Linked DNA regions of Xenopus tropicalis. The protein of the gene in region 1 interacts with the protein of each later gene in a pairwise test. Links are inferred from orthologs where the notes say so. Each region holds a gene or a part of one and is shown in the gene's direction. Other genes may lie near its edges.

Region 1 (6,460 bases):
TTGTCTGAATCCGCTTGTCGTACTTTTCATTTATTACTAACCCAAAGTAACCCAACTGTAGTGGGTGGGGGTTAGACGCCGGCATGTAAACAGTGTAACATATAACATATAAAAGCAAACCTGTGCACAAATATATATACAGTAAAACATATTTATACTGTATATTAAGGGGCAAAACATTTGGCTTCTTAACTTTTCTGGGCTCTCTGCCAAAAGCTACTTTTTTAATTAAGTTTGAGAAACCTTGTATCTTTTTTAGTGTTCAGTGCAGGAGTTCAAAGGCAAATGAGGGACTTTTCAATAAGAATCTAGGACTGCGAGCTGAGCTGTTACAATTGGGACTGTCCCACGAAAATCAGGACAGTTGGGAGGCATGATTTAGCGTTTTGTTCAGCAGCAACAATCAAGCAGTGGTTTAAAACAGAGACAGGGATATGAATAAGGGAGGACTTAAATAGAAAGATAAGTCATTAAAAGTAACAATAACAATACAACTGTAGCCTCATAAAGCAATAGTTTTTGGCTGCCGGGGTCAGTGACCCCCATTTAAAAGCTGGAAACAGTCAGAAGAGGAGGGCAAATAATTTAAACACTATATAAAATGAAGATCAACTGAAAAGTTGCTAAGAATCCATTCTATAACATAGTAAAAGTTAACCTGAAGGGGAACCACCCATTTAACCTATATTCTACAAATGTTCCTAAAGCTTAATACCCTCAATTAATTGTACTTTTATTTTCTTTTGATCTGGAGATCAATCTCCAGACTGCCACCACTCTTACAATGGTTTTAAGATGTTGTACAGGTATGGAATCCCTTATCCAGAAACCCATTATCTGGAAAGTTCCGAATTACGGAAAGGCCATCTCCCATAGACTCCATTATAAGCAAATAATTCTAATTTTTAAAAATGATTTCCTTTTTCTCTGTAATAATAAAACAGTACCCGTACTTGATCCCAACTAAGATATAATTACCCCTTATTGGGGGCAGAACAGCCCTATTGGGTTTATTTAATGGTTAAATGATTCCCTTTTCTCTGTAATAATAAAACAGTACCTGTACTTGATCCCAACTAAGATATAATTACCCCTTATTGGGGGCAGAACAGCCCTATTGGGTTTATTTCATGGTTAAATGATTCCCTTTTCTCTGTAATAATAAAACAGTACCTGTACTTGATCCCAACTAAGATATAATTACCCCTTATTGGGGGCAGAACAGCCCTATTGGGTTTATTTAATGGTTAAATGATTCCCTTTTCTCTGTAATAATAAAACAGTACCTGTACTTGATCCCAACTAAGATATAATTACCCCTTATTGGGGCAGAACAGCCCTATTGGGTTTATTTATTGGTTAAATGATTCCCTTTTCTCTGTAATAATAAAACAGTACCTGTACTTGATCCCAACTAAGATATAATTACCCCTTATTGGGGCAGAACAGCCCTATTGGGTTTATTTCAATGGTTAAATGATTCCCTTTTCTCTGTAATAATAAAACAGTACCTGTACTTGATCCCAACTAAGATATAATTACCCCTTATTGGGGGCAGAACAGCCCTATTGGGTTTATTTAATGGTTACATGATTCCCTTTTCTCTGTAATAATAAAACAGTACCTGTACTTGATCCCAACTAAGATATAATTACCCCTTATTGGGGGCAGAACAGCCCTATTGGGTTTATTTCATGGTTAAATGATTCCCTTTTCTCTGTAATAATAAAACAGTACCTGTACTTGATCCCAACTAAGATATAATTACCCCTTATTGGGGCAGAACAGCCCTATTGGGTTTATTTAATGGTTAAATGATTCCCTTTTCTCTGTAATAATAAAACAGTACCTGTACTTGATCCCAACTAAGATATAATTATCCCTTATTGGGGGCAGAACAGCCCTATTTGGTTTATTTAATGGTTAAATGATTCCCTTTTCTCTGTTATAATAAAACGGTAACTTGTACTTGATCCCAACTAAGATATAATTACCCCTATTGGGGGCAGAACAGCCCTATTGGGTTTATTTAATGGTTAAATGATTCCCTTTTCTCTGTAATAATAAAACAATACCTGTACTTGATCCCAACTAAGATATAATTACCCCTTATTGGGGGCAGAACAGCCCTATTGGGTTTATTTAATGGTTAATTGATTCCCTTTTCTCTGTAATAATAAAACAATACCTGTACTTGATCCCAACTAAGATATAATTACCCCTTATTGGGGCAGAACAGCCCTATTGGGTTTATTTAATGGTTAAATGGTTTTAAGCAGACGTAAGTTATGGAGATTCAAATTACAGAAAGATCCCTTATCAGGAAAACCCCAGGTCCTAAGCATTCTGAATAACAGGTCCTAAACCTCTACCATATTAGCCATTGAAATAGCCTGGGTGCTTCCAAAGCTTGCAATGTTTACTTACTCAGGTGACTTAACTAATAAAGGGTATCTCCTAACCTTACCTTTACCACTTTTACAATTACTTCACACTATTGCAGCTGATAAACTACAACTCCCATAATGCCTCTCCTCTCTCTTGCCAGGGAATTCCTCTCACTTGCCGGGGAATTCTGGTAAATGTTGTTCCGCTACCGCTAAGGGCGCAGTTGTTCCGCATGCAATGCTAACCTCCAGCCACCAGAGGCCGCTGTGGGGAGTTACTGTATGTTCGCTATGCGCTGTGACTAGCAGTAGAGCGGCGGGCACGCTGGTGTGTGTGCGCGTCACTTTGCACAACAAGCCGGAGGCCGCTTTCCCCGTTTCTCTCCTTGCTACACCGTGCGGGCCCGGGGCCCCTAACCAGCAGCCAGGATGCCGCGAATTATGATAAAAGGCGGGGTGTGGCGGAACACCGAGGTGAGAGGGGTTATGGCGTTGTGTAGCGGCTCAATGAACTCACATGGGCGCCTTGATATTTCCAACAGGGGATTCTGGGAGTTGTTGTTCACAGGGTCCCAGCTTGTGCTTTGGCCTTTTCCCTGTTAGTGTTTCAGGATTGTAAAGCTGACCAATTGCACAGGAGTATTTGAGTGAAGCTGAGCTGCTTAATTATAGGAAATAATAGTGTAATTTAGGTGCAGGTAACTAGTTCAATGTGCCTCTATGGCCTGTAGAGAAAGCCAATATAGGTGGGCCAACTTATACTACAACTCCCAGCATCCCATTGCTCGCCAGATTGTTTTGTGATCGAATTCCAACCAAGGTGTGTTTTCCTATAGCAACGAATCAGCAGATTGCATTGGTTGTCAATTGGTTGCTATGGACTGCAGCCACTGGGGGTTATGCCTTAGCTATTTGCATTATAGTCTCAGTCTTCATTTTTAATGTGGGGTTTTTATTTTAAATGATTAAGCTGTTTGTTCAGCAGCTCTCCAATTTTGAATTTCATCTGCTATCTGGTTGCTAGGGTCCACTTCATCCTAGCAGCTAAGCAGTGGTGTGGAAGGTGAATAGAAGAATGGTCTAAATAGAAAAGTAATATAAAGTAAAAAAAAATAAAATTGGGCTCAGTGCCCTACGTTTTGAAAGATGGATAGGGACAGAGGGGAAGGGAAATCCATCAAAACCTTTAAAAAAAAAAAAAAAAAAAAAAAAATATATATATATATATATGCATTTTGCTTCATACTAAGATACCCCTGTACCCTATGTCTCCCTCACTTCTCATGTGTGGTGTTGATATACTATAACGCACTTTCCTCTTTATTTTCTCAGGATGAAATCCTCAAAGCGGCTGTTATGAAATATGGGAAAAACCAGTGGTCTCGTATTGCTTCCTTGCTGCACAGGAAATCGGCCAAACAGTGCAAAGCCCGATGGTACGTCCCGGCCATTATAGCCACGGGCCCGTAGCGTTCCATACGTTCCTGTTCTAATATGAAACCAGATAAACTGCCCCGCAACAGCTGGTATTCTGCATTGGTGGAAGGGGGGGGGGGTAAAGAGAATGGGCAAAGCAGGCATGGAAAGGGTTACACATGCACATAATGCACTGACAGTCTATCCATATTGTCTGTAATGAAGGGCATGGTCATGTGACTGAACATTGGGCTGTAAAGCTCTGCGTATATTGATGGCGCTATATAAATAATGATAATTTGGGTTACACCTAGAAATGCACCTTGAAGAAATGTGTATACATACATGTAGCAATATGTATTGCTACAATACATACATACATACCTACCTACATACATACCTATGTACATGCATACATACCTATATACATACATATTGATATATTAGCCCAATATTGCACCCTGAAAACATTTAGGAAATTGTTTCAGTGTGTAATCTTCTGCTATGAGCATTTAAAGTATTTTAAGTTTTTTAAAAAGTAAACATAATTTCAAGCAGTATATATCAATTAAAAGTATGCAGCCTTTTCATGGTTTTTAATGTAATAATATGGTTTGGAACAGTTCCCTAAGCCCCGCCCCCTGTTCCCCTGCTGATCTGGCTGGCTACTTTGTGACTCAAATAAAATGTAACAGTAGTCGCCTGTCCCCAGCCTGCCTTCAGCCTTCATCCTCCCAATCCCACAATCCCCTGCTGCACACGTGATGTCAATAAGGAAAGGAACATCCTAGTGCAATGCATTGTGGGTTATGTAGTTCCTGCATGCTGTCTGTAAGCTGTGGAGAAGTTGTTACAATCTGTAACATCAGTGTTTTAGTCCCTTCTCCCCTGCCAGGATTTCAAATGATGCAGAAAGAGAAGGACTGTTTTGCAGCTGGATTTCAGCATATAAAAATGGTATTTATTTTTACTTTTTGACGGAACAGATTTCAGTGATAGGTATATTAGGGATTTCTGTGTTGTGTGGGGCTCTTTAACAAAAAACAGAGTGATATCACAGTCAAATTAAGTTCCATGCTTTCACTTAGATTTGTTGGCAGACAAGCTAACAATTACCAAGTGCCCTTCTGAATATCTGTAGTAACATTGGTTGCTAAATTCGTTTAATGTCTCTGTGACAGGTATGAATGGCTTGACCCAAGCATCAAAAAGACAGAATGGTCCCGAGAAGAAGAGGAGAAACTACTTCATCTGGCCAAGCTGATGCCAACTCAGTGGAGGACAATCGCTCCTATCATAGGAAGAACAGCCGCCCAGTGCCTTGAGCACTATGAATATTTACTGTACGTACCATTCATTCTGAAAATGTACATTTGAATTGTTGTTGAGCAGTTTGAACAGTTGTTTTCTGATACAGCAGTGTGAATACGTTCCCATTCTATCAGGCAAGAAGTAACTGTACCCTTAACCAGAAGAGGAATTTGATATGGGTTTTTTTCTTAATCGCTATTGTGTCCTTTGCTTGTTTTTACCCCATACTGAGGTATAGTTTACCAGCCCAAACCTGATTATTAGGGATTCTGACCATAGCATTTGCTAGTTAAAGGACCAGTAATTTGAAAAATAGATTTGTTAGACATACTGGGATACATTTATTATCTCTTACATGTTAAAATCTTGTGCTGGCCATATATGTTAAAGGAACAGTTCGGTTTGAAAATAAAACTGAGTAAAATAGACAGACTGCGCAAAATAAAAAATGTTTTCGATATAGTTAGGCAAAAATGTAATCTATAAAGGCTGGAGTGGGCAGATGTCTAACATAATAGCCAGAACACTACTTCCTGCTTTCAGCTCTCTAACCTCTTAGTGAGTGACTAGAGGTGGGGCCACATGGGACACAACTGTTCAGTTATGTCCCATATGGCCCCACCTCTAGTCACTGATTGGTTACTGACTGCTAACAGCTTAGAGAGCTGTAAAGGGGAAAGTAGAGTTACATTTTTGTCTAACTATATTGAAAACATTTTTATTTTATGCAGTATGTCTACTTTACCCAGTTTCATTTTTACATTGAATTGTTCCTTTAAGATCCAGTTGACTGGTGACGAAGCCAAATAAGTGCAATATTACTTGCTTAGGCCTCACTGCTGGTAGGCCACATAGTTTGGCCTGTGGACCAATGATAAGCTCACACAGGGAGCTGTTGCAGACCACTTGGGGGAGGACAGTGTTCATGGCACAATAAAAGTTTTCAGACAGTCTGAGTTATATCTAGCCAAGGCCCAGTTATTGGTCATGGAAGCCATTTTTTGGTCCCATCTATAAGCTGCAGACTCAAGCAGGAGTGACTCTTTAGAAGTCCTGGGGGTGGGGGTTGACAAAAGATTACAATATATTCTAGGTTACTCTAACATTTGCCCATGTCCTTAAAGGAGAACTAAAGAAATAAAATAGAAATGTTGTACATTATGTTTAGGGCTCCTGTATCAGCCCAAGGCACCCACAGCCCTTTAGCAGGGAAGATCTGTGCCCCCAAAGATGCCCCAGTTAGCTTAGGTACCCACTCACACTATACTTTGTGTATATGTGTGTATATATATATATATTCTGCTTAATATTTCCTGACAGCCTCTAAGCTTAGTTTATCAACAGCT
Region 2 (6,576 bases), on another chromosome or scaffold:
TTCCTCAGGTGGTACCTTTATTTTGAAAGGCCAGAGCAACTTTTAGGGAAAATATGCAATGGACTGGTCAAAAACTAACTCAGTGATGCCATTTTATTTAACTTTTGCAGGTGTTCGTCTTCAGACTTAAGGTGGGCATACACAGGCTGCCGAGCTGGCACCTTATTGACCCATGTATGGGACCCTCAGATGGGCACCCTTAACCGATATCTGGCTAAAAATTGGCCATATCTCGATCAGGCAGGTTTAAATATACTGGCAGAGTGAGGAGCATAACTGCTTGTTGATGCGGTCCTTGCCCCGACAGCCTGAATCCCATCAATGTGATCCAATTGTTCAGCTATCGTGCCAAATGATTGGATCAATCCAATGTTGCCCTCCTCAAGGGAGCTGCTGGGCAACCTACAGTTATGGCAAGCTTTAAACTGTATGCGCAGTAACATAACATTTTGTAAATTGAATGGTACAGGTATAGGATCCCTTATCCAGAAACCCATTATCCAGAAAGTTCTGAATTACGGAAATGCCGTAGACTCCATATCCCCCATAGACTCCATTATAAGCAAATAATTCTAATTTTTAAAAATGATTTCTTTTTTCTCTGTAATGATAAAACAGTCCCTTGTACTTGATCCCAACTAAGATATAATTAATCCTTACTGCAGGCAAAATAATCCTACTGGGTTTAAATGATTTTTTAGTAGACTTAAGGTATGGAGATCCAAATTGCAGAAAGATCCCTTATCCGAAAATCCCCAGGTCCAAAGCATTCTGGATAATGGGTCCATTACCTGTACTGCACAAAGTTTATGCTAAGGATGCTTTGGAAAGGTAAGTATGCTGTAAAATGGATGTGTGGCTTTGCTTTCGTTTTTTCCCAGGATGGTCAATTATTTTTACTAAAGGAAGCCTTAGGTCCAGACTGCGATTCAAAATAGGTCCTGGGATTGGAAATACACAGAAGTCTCAGCTGACCCCCCCAATAAATAGTGACTGTCTATGGCATCTTACAGCAGCTCCCCTGGCCATTGTGGGCCTGTCTTTAGTATAGGAGTTTGTAATTGCTCTCTACACTAACAATCAACTGCCCTACACCAGTCTGTGTGAAATGTGGTGGGACAGCATTGGGTTTGCCCCCTTAGGCAGCAAAATATTAAGAAGCACCTCTTTTGTTTTTATGGTAGCAGCTCTAGCATTCCCCAGGGGTGCAGCTTACTTACCTTTGTTAGTTAAGTTATAAAAGATTTCTCATATTTCTTATAACAATGGTACAACATACTGTACAACTTTCTCCTCTGTCAGAATACTTAATTTAAAATTGTAATCTTGCTCTTTTAGAATGTAAGCTCTATTAAATATATGTAAGAGTGCATCTTATTAGCTGAGAGATAAGCAGACCTATAACTTCCAGAAATACTTTGGTGTTTAAGGAGCATCTGTCATCATAAATAGCTTCCCCCCACCAGAGATGCCAGCGCTAAGCTTCCAACACCAGGAAGGTGCTTCCCGTTCAGATGGGCATGTGAAGGCATATACATGTGCATAATAAGTGATTGTGTATGGTGAAGCACAGCTGTCCCCCTAGTTGTCCCCCTACCAGAATAAAGGTTCTGTTAGCTTGCACCTCCAGTGGGTAAAACAATTTTTGGATGATTAAGCAAGGATTTTGTACCGTAATCTCTGTAATACAGTAAGGCTCCTAAAACTGATTTTACATGCTGGTGATTGTGTTTAAATTAAAAGACTTGCTCAATGTTAAGACTGTAATTCTAATGTAGCTTAAAGAGCAATGTAATTAGCTAATAGGGGTGTTTTGTTTTGTAAGACAGCAAAAGGCATGCCTACAAGTCATCTGGGAAGCTTAAAGCTCTGTTCCAGTAGTCACTGAAACCCCAGACATTTACTGCCATCAGTGCGTACAATTGGCATTGGGGTGACTGTCTAAGGACCATGGATTAGGATGACACACATGATGGTTAGTTACCACATATAAATACAATTTGGCTACACAAGCTATTGATGGTGAAACAGACTGCCTTGTGGATCAATCAGCTGTATCACATGGAAGAAAGACAGGAAGTGCAGGAAAGTTAACTGTTGACTTGATTGTCTGGCCAGCATACATGTACCAAAAGTCATATGAAAAATCAGCCTTTCACAAACATAACACATACCCTGTTCTAGCCATAGACATCTTCCTCCTTTCAAAAATAGTGTTCTTTCCCAAACAATTCTGCTAGGTCGAAAAAAAAGTAGCCAGTTTGGTAAATAAATGGAAAACCCATGGCCCTGCCTCCTTCTTTATTTCAAAAGCTGGTTGCGCTGTGCGCTTTCACAAATACAGCGTTCTGTCAATATGCAGAAGTGCACAGTTCTATTTATCTGACTAGAGATTCTGGGTGCTGTAGTTCACTAGCTGAATGACTGCAGACTGAACAACAGATATATTCAACTTCTGAATTACCAAACTCGCCCCGTGTGTCTTCACCCTAATAGGCACTGTTAAAAGTCACGGTGACCTGTACAACACGGTCGCGGCAATATTCTATTTTACACGGAGGTTAGTCACTGAGATTAGTCACCGTGACTGTGGTTTTCTTAAAAGTAGCAGCAACTATTTGCCCATCTGTCTTCGCCTAACAGGAGTGGGACTGAATAGAATGAAAAGTAAAAATACCAATAAAGTTGTAGCTTTACAGAGCAAAACTGATTTAGCTGCTGTAATCAGACAGAAGAAGAAGGTAAATTATTCAAAATCTGTAAAAAAATAAACAATGAAGAGCAGTTGTTAGGAATAGGACATTCTGAAACAAATATAGAGAAAATACAATATTTAGCACATCTTTTCATGTTCATGTGATTGATCAATAGTGCAAGATAAGAAATATCTTGAATAATGAAAAATGTACGATATGTACCCACTGTGAGGGGTAGCTTGTGTGATGTGTTTCATGTGGGCTCAGCAGGCAGGAAAGCTTACTGAGGTTTGCATCTGTTTTCTGTTATTTTTCCTGTGACAACATCCTATAAACTACAAGTTGCCATAGAGACATAAGCCTGACACACCATACGCTGGTAGGATCCCATTACGAGCATGCTCAGTTGCACTTCTCGTCCCCCTCCCTACTCTGCTCTCAAGATCTGGTTTCAAATTAACGGGCTGCATGGACCAGCTTTATCCCTGATGGCTCCTTATTCTTTGTGTCTGGAAATAGCCGGGGAGCACAGGGAGCATTGGTGACAGTAAGAGAAGAGAGCCACGTTTGGGGGTTGCTTTTTACTGAATGATGATTGCCAGTCTGGCCAGGGGGAATTTGCTGGACATTATTCATGAAGGATTCCCAGAGGTAAATGCATGTTTTATTAAGCAGTTCCTGTGCCAGGCAGATGTGTTGGCTTTGGTGACAGTGTAACCCTTTATGTTTTGGCACTGCAAAGAGGTGTGGAAAAGTTGTAAAAGTCGGGGGAAGTGGTGGCTTGGTAACTAAGAGATTCGTCTCTCTAGCGCTTCCTTTTCTCAGCATCAGTAGAGCAGCAACTGGGTCATATCTTCCTGTCATTTTATCTCTAGCAGGCTTACACATTAGATTGGCCTGGCCGCATATATCATCTTACTCTAGTCTCTGGCAGGATGTCATTGATTTGTGTAATTCATTTAAATTCATGTATGCTTGTATCATATACTCTATTATACAGGTAGGCTTTTTTCATACACTATTTTAACAAACAGATTTACCTTAAATTAAGGTTGGGAAACATGTTACTTTCCCTCTATGTTGTTTAACTACATCTTCCAGCATCTCATCCCCCCCAGACAGCTCAGCTGACTTTTATTTTAGATTGTAAGCTCTTGGGAACAGGGTCATTTGATACAAAAAAGTATTCTTTACCTATGTTTGCTAAATTATTGTAAGGCCCCTGTGTTTTATAAATTAATGTAAAGTTCTGTGTAACTTTCTGGTGTTTTGATGATAGTTATGTAGGCTGAAGCAATCAATTAATCAAAACAATTTTGCATTTGGTCTTTTTTATGGTGTGGTATTCAGATTAGCAAAGCAGGTTTCCTGTTGTGTGTGGTTGCTAAATAAAAATTCAGCATGTTTTCTACTATGTGAACAACCACACAAGGGGACGTCTGTTGACCCCCTACTACGAAAACGCGGCAGATCTCTAGTTAGCTACTCAGATAAGCAAGCTGCATTATATCAGGTCATATCAGGTGATTATGACAAAACTATACCTGATAAGAAATTCTAATTACAATTGTATTAATCCTAATTACCATTTGACAATTCCTTTTGTTATGTAGGTGTTTGTCTCAGAACTCCCGTAGATATATACCTGTTAAATTACAGTACATATATAACATAAATGGCTTTATTCATACATGGTATCTTAAAATATTTCAAGCACTTCCATACTCTTAATTACTTTTTCTTACAGACCTGGACCTGGTACACACTTCATGCAGTTCTTTTATTGAATTGCTGCAGGCATGTTTGATTTAACTGCCAAATCCATACCTTTTTACTTGACATTATTATTATGTAATGACTTGATCAGCCTTTAGAGATCTGTAACCACAGTTTTCCGCTTTTCATATATATTAGATATGTGACACCAAGTGGCATAATACTAAGCCGCAAATGTTTTACTTCATGGCCAGTGGTATATTTGTAAATTTGCAATTAACACAGTGCTAATGCAAATACAGTCAAAACAGGGTGTGACCAAATAGCAGGCAAGAGTAGCTTGCCGGATAATCCCCAAATCAACATGTTAGGGTCATCAGAGTAAACCATGTCATTAGAGTGATAATGATCTGCTCCAGGTGTTTCTGTGAACTTATTTCAAACAGTATAACCCTCATTTTATGTTTTTCAGGTGACCAGGAAAAAATTGTGTAAAATCCAATAAAATGTAAATAGTAATGTGTTAAAACAACTTATTTTTCAAGTACTCAAAGGATATAAGCCCAGGAATAACTTTTACTTTAAAATACAATATTTGCATTTTTAATGACAAGGGTTACGCAGTGCAGCATTAATGTCACCCTATGGGGCATCATGCGCAAGTCAGATGCACAACCTAAAGCAGTAAGTGATTTGTGCATGGCTTTATGAGGTACAGACTCATTGGAACTGATAATTTACAGACAGGACCATGGTTTAGGCATCTGGTTAGAATTGTAAACCTCTTTATTTCACTAATAACAACATTCATAGAGGACAAGCAGATATTTTTAGGAACATTAGGCCAAAATTCTTATGTAAAATCTGTAAACATTATGTAAAATCATAGAAAGCATCCACTGAAATGCATTATAAATAGTTTGGGTCACAAAAAACAAAGTAAAATGCAGGAAAACGTAAAACAGGGTATGAAAAATTGATGTTTCACTGTTTTTAGAATGAAAAAGGAATTTGTATCAATGAATTCATGTATAATTGATGACATTCATATACGATTGATGGACTTATGTTGTCAAATGGCTGATTCAGGTTTTGCCCATCTGATTTGAACTGTATCTTGAATCAGTGCTTGGGTAATTTATATACATGGTTTGATCCACCCTTGACAGATTGATCTTTTGCCACTGTCCCTTTTAAACAATAAAAAGCTAACCTTTAGGTCCCTTCTATACAGTTAATTTAGGTCCTTTGGCAGCCAAACAATTAGAGTACTGGATGAGCTTCTGGTTTTATAACATTCTTCTAAAGCTGGCCATACATGCACCAATGATATTGTACAAAACCTCGTTTCGTACAATATTTTGTGCGTGTATGGTGGATCAACAAGATGACCTATATCGCAAAGGCTGCAGATATCGGTTGTCTTGTTGATCAGCTGGGTTAAAAGATTTTGATCAAGCGCCATTAAAGGCGCCCAAACAAAATCTGCGCTCAGGCTGAATCAGCAGGTGGAGGTAGAATTCCTATTGTTTCTACCACCAGATCTGACGATTCAGCCCTGAAAGATCAGAATTGCTACATGTATGGCCATGTATCTCTGGTACACCTTATCTCTACTGGTTACTGCCACCTGGCGGTACCAACCATCAACTTTCGAAGCAGATGGGCCCTGTCCCATAACAGCATTACCAGTGTTTGGATTAGAGTTAAGGGATAACCATGGAAACTCAAATGTATTCACATTTCCACAGTGCTGGCCCCAGTGGGCGGACTTTTACTTTCCAGGCAGAATTGCATCTGATTGTCACACATCGCTCACGTTTTAGCTGCTGTAAGACTAAATATAGCTCCTGAACAGTCAATCTTTTGCCCTTGCATATTTCACAGTCTTTCCTATTTTGCACCTAATTACAGCTTTATCTGTAATAGTTGTAACATGCATAGTCCTGAGTGGGAAAAGCTGTCAGTGAAAAAACAATGCCTCTTACAAGCCATAGTGATCTTGCTACAACTGGAAGAGTATCTCTTCCCGTCCCAATGAGAAATGTTGGTGGCTCTAAAGCATCTTGCCGAATGAATAGAGGCAAATAATTTCTACCTTAAGGATAGATACTACGTGGCAGGATATGCACTATGTGGAAAATACTTTTCTCAAGCATCCAGA
Region 3 (6,507 bases), on another chromosome or scaffold:
ATGGAACTTTTAGGGTGATTTCAATAATGATATTAGATGACATTTTATAAAATAAAAAAAAAATGTATTAGTATAAGGCTTTGTTGTATACATTATAATACATACAAGGGCATATTTTGGCTGTTTAAATTGCACACCACATATGATACCAAAATTACTTTCTTCTTTCACATTGGCTTGTGTAGTCTGTATTTCCAAACTGGACCCCATAATGTTGCGTGTGTTTTATATGTCCAAGTGGTCCACTTATGCCACAATTTTGAGTTGTCTTTACTAGTCACAGTTCTTCTTACTGACTGAAACCTGAGATGTTGAGTGAAGTGGTCTAAAGTGTCTATATTCTGTGCAAACATCCTGTATAAATTCCATTTACATTTGCATGAAGTTTATTATAACTTCATAGATATATACAGTACATATTCATGTAAATTAGTGTATAAAAAGCCAGAGAGGAGAACAACTCTGCAAATAAAACCCTAATGCCCTAAAATATACATTATAGTTAGGATAAATATATATTTTGTAAAGGTATGGGATCTGTTATCCTGGAACCCATTATTCAGGAACATCTGCCATAGACTCCATGTTAATGAAATAATTCAGGTTTTTAAAAATGATTTCCTTTTTCTCTATAATAATAAAACAGTACCTTGTGATTAATCCCAACTAAGATATAATTAATCCTTATTGAAGGCAAAACAATCCTATTGGGTTTTATTCATGTTTTAATGATTTTTATTAGACTTAAGGTATGAATATCCAAATTACACCTTATCGAATTATGTATCAAGAATTCTGGATAACAGGTCCTATACCTGTAATATGTTCTAGATCATTTTGCGGACACTTGATATAACTATAGAAACTGTAAAAGGTATGTGGTTAATAAATATTTACATCTAAATTACTGAATAGAGTTGAAAATTTGAGATGAGCAAAAAAGAGGTCACTAGAGAGAAATGCCACAAATCTCTTTATGGGGTTTTATGGGCATATTTATCAAAGGATGAAAGTGACAATTAACCTTATGTCTATTATTTTGTTGGTACCTGCTGGTAAAGTAATAGCAATATTCTCAGAAACATGCCAAAAAACCCAAATAAGAGTGCAGGAATGCAACATCTGGGTTCAAACTGTGATGGACACTGTCGCTTTGCACCATTTGGTATTATAATGTAGTTAGTGACACAGCAAGGTGCTGCTTCAGTCACAGTGGTGTATTGGAATACAAGAAAAATGGGGGGGGGGGGGTAAAGTAAAGGTGGGAGCAAGGCACAGACATGAAGACATTATTGAAAGGTATTGTGGTTATTCAGCTTTCATTTGACTTACCAAAGTAGCAATCTTTCTTGCATTTATTGTGTTCCATATACTTGACCCAAACATGTATTTATTCTTTTCTCAATGTGCCTCTGGTCATCAGCAACATTGCATAGTGTAAGAATATGTTTTATTTAATAATGTGTGTGTTTTCTTTTTCCTTTACATTATAAAAGTCTATCCTACCCGCAAAACTGCAATTTGGAAGCAGTCATGTCTTACAGGCTAAAGCCAGGGAAGATGACTAGTAATAAAAGCGGTATGGAACATAAGGCATTGTGGTTGCTTGGTTAAAACACAGGGATCATTGTGGGTCATTTTCCACTGATATTTGCCTTTCGCATTGCAAGTAGCCCTTAACCCATGTGTCATACAAAACTGCTGTAGTGTACAACTACCCAAACAGGAGAATGGCATAAATGAATTTGCTTAGACAACTGACTATATAGGAGAACAAAGCAATGGACAAATACTTGAGAAGAAACTGTATAGGAAATTAGAGAATTGAGAGCATTGGGAACATATGGTACATAAGAGGTATTAATAAGCCAGGAAGCATAACAGATGGGTAACTCGTGCCACAGTAAGCATATCAAAAGCTGCAACGAGGGTCTGAGAGTTGTAGTTCCACAACATCGGGGCAGATGCCACATACCATTGCTTCACATTACAGATCCCAGCTGCAGCCGTTACATTAACCTTTAAATACAGAATATAATGCTAGACTTATGGCACGCTCCTGTAGCCAGCGTATATAAATGTGCATCAAGCCTACCGGCAAATGTAGCTTAGGCAGCTGGGGAGATCTGCACGTAAGTGAAAGAGCAGGCGTGATTACTTCAGAATTTATTTAGGGACTGGTAGAAACCACTCCAACAGCAAAGGGAACAATCATGAGAGATTCCAGTGAACTTTTCTGCTTTCTCTATCAGATGTTAAACTGTTGCATAACTCTCATCAAATTAGGTGTTTAGTGTAGATTTTCCTTGCTGCTCTTTTTGAACATTCATTTAAACCTTATTTCAAAATGATAAAAGCAGAAATTATTTTGCCTTAATAGAATCATATGTTATTTTTTTCCCTTAAATACTGAATACCCAATTGTAAAAATAGACATCATTATTTGCCCTTGATTTTACCATAAAACACTGCTCATATTTTAGATTAAATAGAAAAAAAATTACAATGATATTATTTCTAATGGGAGATTTTGTATTTACGTTTATAACTAAATCATTCCAAAAGACGTCTTCTAATGTTTATCAATTAATTTGTAGAATAATAAGCCAGTTTCAGATTTTTTGGGCATGATAAATAAATACAGCAATTGCAGTATTATCTTAAAAATATTATACATAATATAAGATATTTATATATTATATGTATATGTGTGTATATATTTTTCAAAATGTGTTTTATTTACATGTATGTAGGTGTGTGTATAATATAACAAGAACATTTTCTGATGTCAGTCATTTTTTTTTACCAGCCAATCAAATATTTATTTTTATGAGATATAGCTTAGTTGGAATGCTGTAATCAATGCAAATAACCTTTCAGTATACAGAGGCTGCTGCAGATTCCCTTCATTCTCATGCAGCTGTCAAAGGATGCTGGGGCTTTAAGAGACACCTCCCCTCTTCAGCTCTAAACAATGGTTTCTACCGAGCTCTGCTTCCCATTGCAAAATTTGTAATGTGCCATTTTTCCCATGGATGCCTTTCCATTTGGGTGCTGACAGGAGAGGCAGACATGCTGAAGTGCCAAGCTGATTCTGCCTACAGACTCGTGCCTGGAGGGTGCTATGACTTTAGCATATTGTGAGCAAGATTTGTGTTCGAATTGATGGGGAAATGGTCCAGGAGTGCTCAGTGTGATTCCAGGAGCCAGTGGAGACTGCAGACTGATTTCATTGATCTCTTGAAGAAGCGAACAGAATTATAGAAGATTAGGTACTGAAAAATCTCTTTCTAATGAGATCATGTAGATGATTTGTTAATATTTGTTATATTAATACACACATGACGGGAAAGTTAAGAGTCATGCATGCAAATGCCTTGGTTCTGGCAGACAAGTGCTGTTCATCTAGTGATGGCTTCTGCAGGGAACATATTCTCTATCACAGGGCTGCTCATCCTTAATCATTTCATCTGACAGCTTTGTACTGTGTGTCCATCTCTGTGTCTGTGTGTGTGTTAGATTAGTGCAATTTGCTAGTATCTTCTATAGAGTGCCCTGGAAAGCAAGGAGTTAAATAGGAGGAGGGATATGCATGATGTAATGCAATTGAGACAATGGCAAGGATTTTCCTGCTCGCATTACACTGTGCGGCACCTACAGCCAGTGTTCTTCTAAAATGTGTGAAAAATAAGTCATGCTGAATAGAGCAGTAGGATTTACCATGGGTGGGTACGTGGGTGGGGGAATTGCACCCCATAATTATGCACATGCTGCAGCACTGAATGGGTTAATGCATCTATTTCTTCTACTCATCCCTGAGGCATTTTGGTTAAATAGGAGATCTCTTTCAGAGTTGATTGCTGTGCCTCCTAAGCATACAGTTTCCAGTCTGTGCAAGCTCAATTCATGAAACAGGAAAAAATCTGAAAGAAAGAGGGCAGGGAGTCATTGATAGGATACAGGCACAGATAAGTCAGGAACAGTAACCCAAGTGACAATGAAGTGAGACAGGAGCAAGACACGATCATATGTGCAGGTGTGGGGACAGGTTCACACCAAGAGGGGGGGGATAAAAGGATGACCGTGACTCTTAGAACTGCAGCATTACACTGACCTGTCTGCTGTTTAAAGGGACACACTGTCACATAAGAGGCACACCCAGAAAAAAAAATAAAAAATAAATATATATATATATATATTTACATTTCAGTCATAATCAAAACATGCAAATAATATGGTCTCTATGCAAATAGAAATCAACATATTGAGCAGGTGACAGAAAAATCTTTAAGGGACTATGCCATAAATGGATGAGTAAAGTGCGGAGCATGGGGAGTGGTGACAGAGGACTGTATATGGGGTACAGTTAATCTGCATGGGCACTGGTATACTTCTTATGTGCAGTGCATGGCCCTGCAGAGTTCATGTTTCACTAACTTAATGGGGCCAAGAAAGGGAGTTTTTCCCAGAAGGGTGCCACTCAGTGCTGCCACTGATCCCTGCTCATATGCAGGGGGAAGGTTATGTCTATATTCAGGATGGCTCAGCAACTCTAGTTCATCAACTACTGGGCAGGGGTTCTGAGCTTAAAAAAAATTAAAAACGATCATCTGTGAAATATATTGACAAATGTTACATGAATGTTCCTTAATTATGAGTTAATGACCTTTACTGTATCTTTTGCATTCTATGGACTCCAGTGATTGCTTAAGGTCTTTAAACAATGCATTCATTTATTAGATGAAGTTATGAAGTGCACCTTGACTGTATATTCTAGCTGCATAACCCAATATTTCCATAGACCCTTTTACTTACCTTGACTGATATATAGTTGGCCCTGTGTCCATAGATCAAGAAATGACACCCCAGTTCCCAAAACAGTAGTATAGGGCATTAGAAAAGAGAAATAACATTGTTACATTTAACAGAGACCTTGCTGCATTTAAGCTATGACTAATGCAACCTAAGAAAAAGTATTGTATTCTTTCCAAATATCATTCCACAGTACTTGCTGTTTTTTTTTTTTCTTTTCTAATATTTAAACCTGGAGGGCAGAACCAAGGACTGTGTGGTAAAGGAACAACCTCTGCCTTACATTATTTCCTCTGAAGGATCTGTGGGAGTTTAAATGTGTGAAACACATAATTATGTAGTGTTGATTTTCTCTTGAACTTTGGAGGTGGCTCAAAAAAAAAAGTAAATAAACAGATTCTTTCCAATTGTTTGGGCCGCTAAAAAACACTGAGTTATGGCAAATCATGAACAAACAATTAAACACATCAGGACAAAAGAAAGTGTATATAGAATGTAGCAATGATGTGCATTAATACCATTTTATGTGGCTCAATTAAATTCTGTTATTTGTTTTGTTTTGTTTTTTGGTGGGGGGGGGATTACCAAATATAACAAGGATAATCCCAAATATAAAATAAATTGTTAAAGTGGATGTAAACTGAAAAATACCATTTTCTATGGTTTTAATTAATTGTAAATGTACAATTCTATTGCTGCACTGGCAGTCCTGACTTTTAAAACAGTGTAGCAGAAGCTAGCTAAGAAAAGAGAAAGTAATTCAGATATATACATAAAAGTTGTTTTCTCTTTTAAAAGCTTGTACATAATTCCAATGTCCAGTGTATGAGTCTGAAGCTGTTCATCATGCAGTATCTGTTTTAATTGTCTTCCTATATTTAACAAATCAATCTAAAAAAACTTAATATCTGTACCTCTAATCACTGGCCCCCAAGTGTACCTGGGACAAATTTTTATCTGCGTCCTGTCCTTTTAACAAAAGCTTTGAGTCTTATAAGGGTAGGGCTGCTGTAGACTTGACATTTTAACAACTACCTGGTTGCTAGGGTTTAATTGCCATAGCAACCTGGCATCAGTTTGGAAGCCAGAATAGTAGAGGGCCTGAATACTAATATATGCAATAAACAACAAGAATACTGATAACATTTAAGCTTTAGCATCAGTGTATTTTCGGCTTCCAGGAACTAGATGGCATATTTAGTTGGAAATAGGCAGAATAAGAACATTAATAAAAGGTCACTAGTAATGAGCAAATTTTTTCCCCAGACATGGTTTTGCAACGAAATGCCACTTTTTGGAATCAGCAAATTTTTTCTCTCAAAAAAAAAAAGGTCTCTCCAACATTTGAAGTAAAAAAAAAACGTCACCCGTGTAAAATTTGATCAGTGTGTTTTGCATTTTTTTGCCATGATCACTGATTTTTTTGGCGACGTGAAACAGGACAGATTCGCTTATTACATTAGCAAAATAGGAAGGCTAAAAATGTAAAAACCAATAGGAATAAAAACAATATAAATCAATGTAAAAGTTAGAATATGTTTTGGATAATGTGATGGAATTACCCCCTCTGCAGAGCAGTTGGGCATAAGGGATCAAAAAAGGCAAATCTTGCCCTGAACTAGGATTGGCACCTTTCCTACAGTAAATTACCAGCTGCTTTGTTAGGGGAGTAAGGCAGTGAGGCATGGGGAGGCG

Evidence for each region.
Region 2: the proteins of cdc5l (region 1) and dixdc1 interact in a two-hybrid assay, tested with the Homo sapiens proteins (2 studies listed by BioGRID and IntAct). The link is inferred for Xenopus tropicalis from reciprocal best matches to the Homo sapiens genes CDC5L and DIXDC1.
Region 3: the proteins of cdc5l (region 1) and ppfia2 interact in a two-hybrid assay, tested with the Homo sapiens proteins (2 studies listed by BioGRID and IntAct). The link is inferred for Xenopus tropicalis from reciprocal best matches to the Homo sapiens genes CDC5L and PPFIA2.

The regions. Positions count from the first base shown.
Region 1 is NC_030681.2:148,161,074-148,167,533, reverse strand, and holds the start of cdc5l (cell division cycle 5-like protein), read left to right. Parts: upstream 1-2,621; 5' UTR 2,622-2,816; coding exon 2,817-2,861; intron 2,862-3,719; coding exon 3,720-3,823; intron 3,824-4,984; coding exon 4,985-5,146; intron 5,147-6,460.
Region 2 is NC_030683.2:84,568,149-84,574,724, forward strand, and holds the start of dixdc1 (dixin), read left to right. Parts: upstream 1-3,022; 5' UTR 3,023-3,284; coding exon 3,285-3,347; intron 3,348-6,576. UniProt on the Homo sapiens protein: Positive effector of the Wnt signaling pathway; activates WNT3A signaling via DVL2. Regulates JNK activation by AXIN1 and DVL2.
Region 3 is NC_030679.2:52,879,156-52,885,662, reverse strand, and holds the start of ppfia2 (liprin-alpha-2), read left to right. Parts: upstream 1-2,953; 5' UTR 2,954-3,272; intron 3,273-6,507. UniProt on the Homo sapiens protein: Alters PTPRF cellular localization and induces PTPRF clustering. May regulate the disassembly of focal adhesions.